2 linked regions of the Drosophila melanogaster genome follow. The protein of the gene in region 1 interacts with the protein of each later gene in a pairwise test. Each region holds a gene or a part of one and is shown in the gene's direction. Other genes may lie near its edges. The genes, in order: Zcchc7 and DIP1.

The links.
Region 2: the proteins of Zcchc7 (region 1) and DIP1 interact in a two-hybrid assay, tested with the Drosophila melanogaster proteins (one large-scale study listed by BioGRID).

Annotation. Positions count from the first base shown.
Region 1 is NT_037436.4:16,843,667-16,847,592, forward strand, and holds the start of Zcchc7 (zinc finger CCHC-type containing 7), read left to right. Parts: upstream 1-1,719; 5' UTR 1,720-1,834; coding exon 1,835-1,843; intron 1,844-1,901; coding exon 1,902-2,223; intron 2,224-2,560; exon of another isoform or gene 2,561-2,630; coding exon of another isoform or gene 2,631-3,317; exon of another isoform or gene 3,318-3,334; intron 3,335-3,494; coding exon 3,495-3,926. Other genes in the region: TSG101 (tumor susceptibility gene 101), read left to right, coding at 1-64, 126-472, 541-727; kud (kuduk), read right to left, coding at 959-1,195; CG32161 (uncharacterized protein), read left to right, coding at 2,631-3,317.
Region 2 is NC_004354.4:21,628,388-21,632,313, reverse strand, and holds the start of DIP1 (DISCO interacting protein 1), read left to right. Parts: upstream 1-2,165; 5' UTR 2,166-2,277; coding exon 2,278-2,340; exon of another isoform or gene 2,341-3,410; coding exon of another isoform or gene 3,411-3,470; exon of another isoform or gene 3,471-3,559; coding exon 3,560-3,926.

The DNA of each region.
Region 1 (3,926 bases):
ATATCCGGCCTACCCGAATTTCATACAACCAACCGCCGGTGGGTACCCACCAGCTGCGGGATATGTAAGTTTTAGATTATTATCCAAAAATCGACTTCTTAATGTTTAAAGCTTATTCTTTTCAGAATCCCTCAAATCCCAGTTCCACGGGAACTATTACCGAGGAGCACATCAAAGCATCAATCATTAGCGCTATCGACGACAAGCTGCGCCGCCGAGTTCAGGAGAAAGTTAATCAGTATCAGGCCGAGATCGAAACTCTCAATCGCACCAAGCAGGAGTTGCTCGAGGGCAGTGCCAAGATCGATGCCATTATAGAGCGCCTCGAGCGCGAACATATTGATATGCAAAAGAACATAAGTATATTAAAGGACAAGGAGCAGGAGCTGGAAAAAGCTCTTGAAGATCTTGAGAGCGCCGAGGCCATTAACCCCGACGAGGCGGTGACCACCACAGCGCCACTTTACCGACAGTAAGTTGAATGTCTGCGTGCGCATTCCAAGATTCATGCTAGATAATTAATGGTTTATCCACCCGCAGGTTACTCAATGCCTATGCCGACGAAGCGGCCACCGAGGATGCCATATATTACTTGGGCGAGGGTCTCCGCGGAGGTGTCATCGATCTGGAGACCTTTCTTAAGCACGTGCGACAGCTATCCCGCAAACAATTCATCCTACGGGCCACCATGCAGAAGTGCAGACAAAAGGCCGGTCTAGCGGGCTAGAAGAGCCATGATTTCAACAGTTGCCGTGATTTCTTATTCGACGGGGTAGTGCGAGCACGTGCAGACGATTTATATGTTACCATCAAAAATATTCGATAAGTTTTAAGCGCAAATTGAATCTTAAAAATTGAAATTATAATAACAATAATCCTAAATAAAACAAAGGCCTCATGTATGTTAACGCCCACGATCAGATCTTCAGTTTATTTCTATGCGGAATGGTGTCTTATCTCATACGTAAATACCGACGGTTAGAAGCAGGAAAACAATGCCGAATCCCAGGAAAATGGAGGCGCACAGGCTAATCAGCAGTTCCTTTATCAAGGTGCTTTCCTTAGAGCTCTTTCGAGACACCACAAAGATGAAGAACCAGGCGGTGAAGAAGGTTCCGATGACCAAAAGCACGGTGGCGAGGTGGGGAAAAACGGCCGGGTTCACGGGCGATACGTAGCGCTGCATTACGTCCATACTAGAAATAAGATGATCCGGTTAAGCTATTAGTTTAACACACTTGCGGCACTCTTACATTGAATTTTAGCTTTAATTACTTCTTGTTATTTTTCGACGCGAATTGTACGTGGCCCGGCAGCTAGGGTTGCTCCTCTTGTTATCGTTATCGGAGGCACCCACAATTGACTGCCAGTTTACACGTATCGAAACGAGAAGTATCATAAATTTTTTTTTTTTGTAAATTTTTTTTTGGTTTTTTTTGGTTTTTTTGGTTTTTTTTTTGGTTTTTTGTAAATTTTAAATTTTAATTTAACATTTTGAGAGATAAAAAACTCGGAGTGGAAAATTATTCATTTTTATTTATAATGCCATAGTGAATAATTAAGTGTTAATTTTAAAACTTAAACCAAATTCGAACCGTTCGTTGATGTAAATTATTTATTTTTTGCCAGCTAGTAGAAGTACTGTTGTCAGATTTTTTAGTTTACTATTCGATAGCAACATTTTCCGATAGCCAGAGTGTCATCACTGCCTCGATTGACATGCTCTCTCCAGCTTGCCCACCACTGCCATCAACGTGCTCTCTTTCATTATATTACTTTTTATCAATGCGCAGGAAAAATAAATCAAAGGCAAAGGAAAACAAAGACGCGCAATATGAGTGATGTGAGTGTTGGCCCAAATACCCGTTATTCCTACCGATCTAATGCATTCCAATCCGCAGCTTGAGGAGATGGACAGCGAACGGCTGAACGAGCTAGAATCAATTCTATATGCCTCGATCCACTACAGCGATGGATTCGAAGAGCACACTGCCATGGATCAGCCTGCGAAGGAGTCAACCAGCGACCAGGATGCCAGGAGCATGCCACCGCCTCCTCAGCAGAAGCATCCCATTCCCGGACAGCGTTTCGTCAGCGGAACACGAGTGATCAACAACAGCATGCAGAAACCACGCTACTGGATCGATGGTGCGGCAGCTGTGGGGGAGGGGCAGGTGGTGCAGGCGGAGGAACAGCAGGCCACCACAAACAAAACAATGCCAGGTGAGTGGCAACCATTGGCAAATGGTATATATGAAGTAATAAAAACCATAAGCTAGCATAAAAATATACCCAAAAATGTACCCAAAAAAGGTAGGATCCAATAAGATCCAATATCTCACAAGTTATTAGGTAATTTAAATCATAGTAAATATAATCATATTTAATCGGTCGATTTGTAGCTATAACTGTTTAAAACTCAAAACAAAAAAAATTAAACGTGATTCATAATCTTAGGTATTCTTAGCTAGTTCATTTGTAGTCTTTTAGTTCCGCCCCATTTCATAGTAGTCAAGAACATTTCCTACTTCCATCAGTGGGGATCAGCCCAGCTTTTGGGCATTAGGCTGCTTTCATCCTTTTCAAAACTATTTCGTTGGCGTGCTTTCAAAATTCTCCATAACCTTCCAATGATGACCTGCTTCCTCAGTCGCTTTCTGGGCCTGGGCAGGTGCGGTCTGCAGGTGCTCGAAAGGCGGATGGGCCATTTCAACCATTGCACCTTGGCCCTGGCCACTCTCGACCTTGTCTGCATTGTTTGCCTGCTCCATTACCAACTGGCGCGGCATGGCCGAGATCTGTTTTTTTGGTGCGAGGAACTGGACCAACGACTAGTGGAGTACATGCTATCTGCAGTCGTATTGATGGCCAGCGTTAGTGTGCTGGGCTCGTGTGTGGATGGCTTTATCTTCTCTGCCTTGGTTCAGCGGAAAATGAGTCGGTTTGATATGCCGCGACAGTATTTTGAAGATCGTTACCGCAGATTCGTCTTCATGCGGCTGGTCAGGCAACTAGAGCAGGCTCTCAAAGTGCAGGCTAAGCAGTCTGAGTTGGGCGAAAGAATGATGACGCCACTCGCCAATCTGTTCGAGGCGCAGCAGCTGATCAAGGAGGCAATCGATGAGTTTCGCACAGCGGTGCGAGTCCTACTGTGGCCCAATCGATCCGATGTGCTGGCAGAGGCGTTTGTCCTCTTCCACATAAGCGAATCGCAGTTGTCGGATCTGACACTTCAAGGCTACAGGCTGAACGACGTCGAGGGGGAAGACATGTCCAATTCCCGTCTTAGTCAAATGCTTAACCCACTTTGGTATTAAAATTGGTGCTATAGTTCAGAAACTGCATTTTTAATTTGTCAATGAAAATGTTGGGTTGTATCAAAAGATTTGGTTTATTCTTAAGAATTTCTGCTAATTTGCTATTCACATTTATTCATATCGCCTATACAAATAAATATAAGAATCACATTTTAATTTATGGTTCTTGTCTCTTAGCTGTTGAAGAAAGTTCCTCATCACAATCGATGGATGTCGATATGCCGCAAGACAAGAGTCTATTGCTGTCGCCCGAAAAGGGAACGTCCAATCAACCGAAAACTGCTAGCCAGCCCCCGAAACATCAGCAAATCCCACAGGCCAAGCAACAGCAAAATATTCATGCAAAACAATTGCAAAATCAACAGGCAAAGCCTCAGGAGCAAAAAAATTCACAACAGAAACAGCAGCAGAGTCTTAAGCAACAAAATCAACAATCCAAGCAGCACCAAAATCAGCAAAAGAAGTCGGCGCCAGTAGTACAAAAACCAAAACCGCAGCCAAACGCATCCACCAAAGTGAATCACGAAGCCTACGAGGCGGAGCGTTTTGACCAGAGACTTCTAGTCGCCATCCCACCGAACTGCCCGCCCAAGAAGCAGAATAAGCCAC
Region 2 (3,926 bases), on another chromosome or scaffold:
ATGTACAAAATCTTGGGTGACGTAAGTCACTCGAATTTAATATATTAACATAAAATATCTAGTATTTTAGGCCAATATATTCTACACTGCTGCTGAGCTGATGATAATAATTAAAATATTAGATTACGTTTTTTGTTAAAGAAACAAACAAATTAACCGCAGAACTTTTTAACAGATTTAACTCACTGAAATTCTGAAACAGATTCCTTAATACCGTTGTGTTTTTGTTGTTATGTTTTTGTATATTATTATCCCTATTTAAATTATTTTCCTTTTTCGTTGTTGTTTCGCTTAGAATTTCTATTTCTTAGAATTCCTTTTTCTTGCGTCCATACCGAAACGTTTTCGAATTTAAACTAATTTGTGAACATTTCTTTCGAGAATTGTTTTAAATGCGCACGCGCCCGGCGTCATAAAGCAACTGAGAGAAATCAAAAGAAGACTCACGAAAGGAACCCACAAATCAAGTCTTCTGATATACACAAAACAAAATTCATGTATTTTCATGTCTTTTTGTTTAAAAATTGGTTTCTACATATTTCATTTTCAAATTCAAACTGGCACATGTGCGTATGTGCATATGTGGAAACGCGACTAAACAATTATATTTAAGATGTTATCTTTAAGTTTTCTCGTTGAGAACGTTGTTTTAATAGGTGCTATACAAATTTGACACTAGATTATTGTCAGTGTACGATTTTCCTATTCGTGGACACCGTATATTGATTTCGGTCATGCTCTTGTACCGCAGTGAAGAAAACTTTTGCGACAGTATTAGGTATTTTATTTGGCGTTTTATTTGGGTGGACCTCAGTTAAAAATATTGGACCACTTTATTTCAGATATTCCAATTTAAACATAGAAATATGGTTACCTTGTGGTTTTTATTTGATCCTGATTTGTTTTCGTCAATAGTTTTGTGACTTAAGCAGCGAAACATTAAATTACAATTACAATATAAAAGTTACAAAATACGCGGTAAGTCGTACTCTGATTTTGATTTTGATTTTCTGCAAGTGGGTTGGTATATGTGTGTATTGAGTTCCCTGTAAGTCCAGGATCACAAGACGAGTCGAGCTGTCCCATATTCTTTTTTCCGTCTGCCCAATCAGTGACCTTTGAAACCTCGCGAACCTTAAGGGACTATGCCTGTATGCCTATGCAGCGCAGTTTGACACTGCTTAAATATTCGTAAAAGAATAAAAACCTCGATTAATATATAAATATATAGCAAATATATTTGCAAAATATGATAAACTGACCTATTAATCCCAACACAGATAGTTAATTTTCATAAGTTCGCTTGCATTCCTATTGATGTGGTTGAGGAAACGCAAAACTCTTGTGAACACAGTGTGAACACCTATTCTATTTTTCGTTTATCCAAAACTGTCATTCCCACACTTTTGAAAAATATTCATTTTTTTAAATAAAATTTTTGTCTTGCAACTTTCTATAGATATGCAAAAATAATGTCGAAAATTTTCCGTCGCACTCCCACTATCTAAGTAACAGGTATCTTACCTTACTTTGAGCATTAGTATTTTTTTAATATATGCATAATATGAAAAACACACCTATTAATCCCAATGTAGATAGTTAATTCAGTTGATTTGGTGTTCATTTTTACAAAGTCGCATACTTTCCTATTGCTGTAGTTGAGGAAACGCAAAACTTTTGTTAACACAGTGTGAAAACATTTCCTGTTTTTTGTTGACGTTATAGATTTTGCCCACGCTGCAGACAGGCAAATTGTGTTTGCAAGTCATGAAAAGTCATGCGCTTATGGTTCGAGTTCTATACTATTTTCTTAATACATTTGAATGTCAGTCAGTCAAACAAAAATGTAGGGAATTACCATGCACACAATTTAACAGCTATAATATTCTCGCGATATACAGAAGTACTGTTTCAATTCTAAATTTTCGCAATAACTTTTAAGCACTTCCAAAGAGCATCGTCGTGCTATTTTTAGCATGCTTTTAATTATTTCACAATAAAATCTTTGGTCTGCTCTTTTTTTTCCGCCGTCTTTCCATCACTTTGCTTATATTACTATGGCCAGTGTGAAATGTCTATAATATATTTAATACTAAAAACGATTTTCGAAATATGTGAAAAATATCGATATATTTACATATATTTTGACATCCCTACTTAAGTTTTTTACTTCAGTGCAGTACGATTCTTTCTGTGACCTGAGCAGTGAAAAATTAAATTACAAAAGCGAAAAAGCGAATTACAAAAGTGAAAAATTAAATTACAAAAAAAATCAAGATGAAGCGAAATCGTCGTGCATTTGCTGGAAACAACAAGCCATTTGTCTTTGGAGGCATTTACGTAAGAATCTTAATTTTTTTTGCAAGTGTGTGCAGGAGTGTGAGTTAAGAATTCCCTGTGACGTCACGAAGATATGTATTCCGAGTGAAAATGCATCACGAAAACAAAAACCATTGTTGGAATCATCCATATTTGATTTGTGAAATAACAAAGTTTTCGTTTTTATTTCTATAATTTGCAGCGCACAAAGTGAAAGTGTTCATTCACAATTCACCACAATTGTGAACTCATTTGCAATAGCCACTAAAAGCGGGTTAATCGAAAGTGCAGACCGTTGTCCGAATTCCACCAGCATTCACAATGCACCCCCCAGACATCCACCACCTTCCCCTCTCCCCTTACATTCGTAACCCACCCATTTGCATTGCACTCATTCCACTCCGTTCGTGCTTTCGATCAACTAGATATGGCCAGCACTGCTATAGTTTCACGCTGGACTTGCGGTTATCGCTAACTTTTATGGCTACTGAAAATGCATTCACCCGAAACTGTAACTAAAATTATTAGTTTTGGGTCAGATAGCAATGCCCATTCACTCCACCGAAAGTGCCCGAAACGAGCCGGCGACCATGAACTCAGCCGATGACCGAAGGATCCCCATAACTATTGTTTCATGCTAAAATAGACAGAATTGTGAAACGTATAGGTCGATAGTCAATTATTTTACTCTATTTTTGCATATCGGAGAAAATTCTATTAGAATTAGAATTAGATTTTCTCGAACCTCTCTGCAAACAGAATACATTAGCGAAAAGTTAACTCACCATGAGACTGAATTTATTTGTTAACCGGACTTTGCGGTTTTTATGCCCATTGAATTAAAGAGACATTGGTTACCCTAATAGTGCAGTACACCTGATTTTCATAGATTAGCATAGACTACCTGGTCCCGGAGTCCTCGGCTGGATCCGATAAACGGAGATCCACAGTCGCTGGGCAGTTGGCTCCGTTGGTGCAGAGCTTCGTTTCGGGGCACTTGGGTCGCAGGAATGGCCATGGCTAGTTCCGGAACTATGGTTTTAAGTAGACCAGCCGACCACCCTGACGGTTCCGGGTAACTTGACGACTTGATGGTTTCCGTTGGCCAGCGAGTCGCTTTTTTGTCGACCCACTGGACCAGTCCGCTGCAAGTGATTTTGTCTAGGGTAGCCTGGCGAGCCAGGCGGAACCCGTTGCCTTCGCTAACTAATCGACTAATGAAACTCTTTCGCAAACGCAGAATCCCAATGCCACCGTCAAGCCTTTGATCCAAATGCCGTTGCAGGCCGCCAATGTCCAGGAGCAGCAGTCTTCTCCGGTGGCTTTATATCCGACATCGGCCTCCCCGGTGGCTGTTCAATCGCCACAGGACGCATTTTTGGCTGTTCAGTCGCCAGGGGCTCCTGCCCCCGTTCAACTGGCCAACTCGTCCGACCAGCAGAATAATCCGGATGCGGACGCCATTGCCTCCAAACTGCCCATGCCAGTTATCATCAAGGAGGAGCCGATCTCTGTCAACGATGAACCGTCCGTCGACAATATAGAGGACAATACCAGTGCCAGTACCAGTGCCAGCGGCATCGGGGGCAAGATCCCATTTAAAAAAA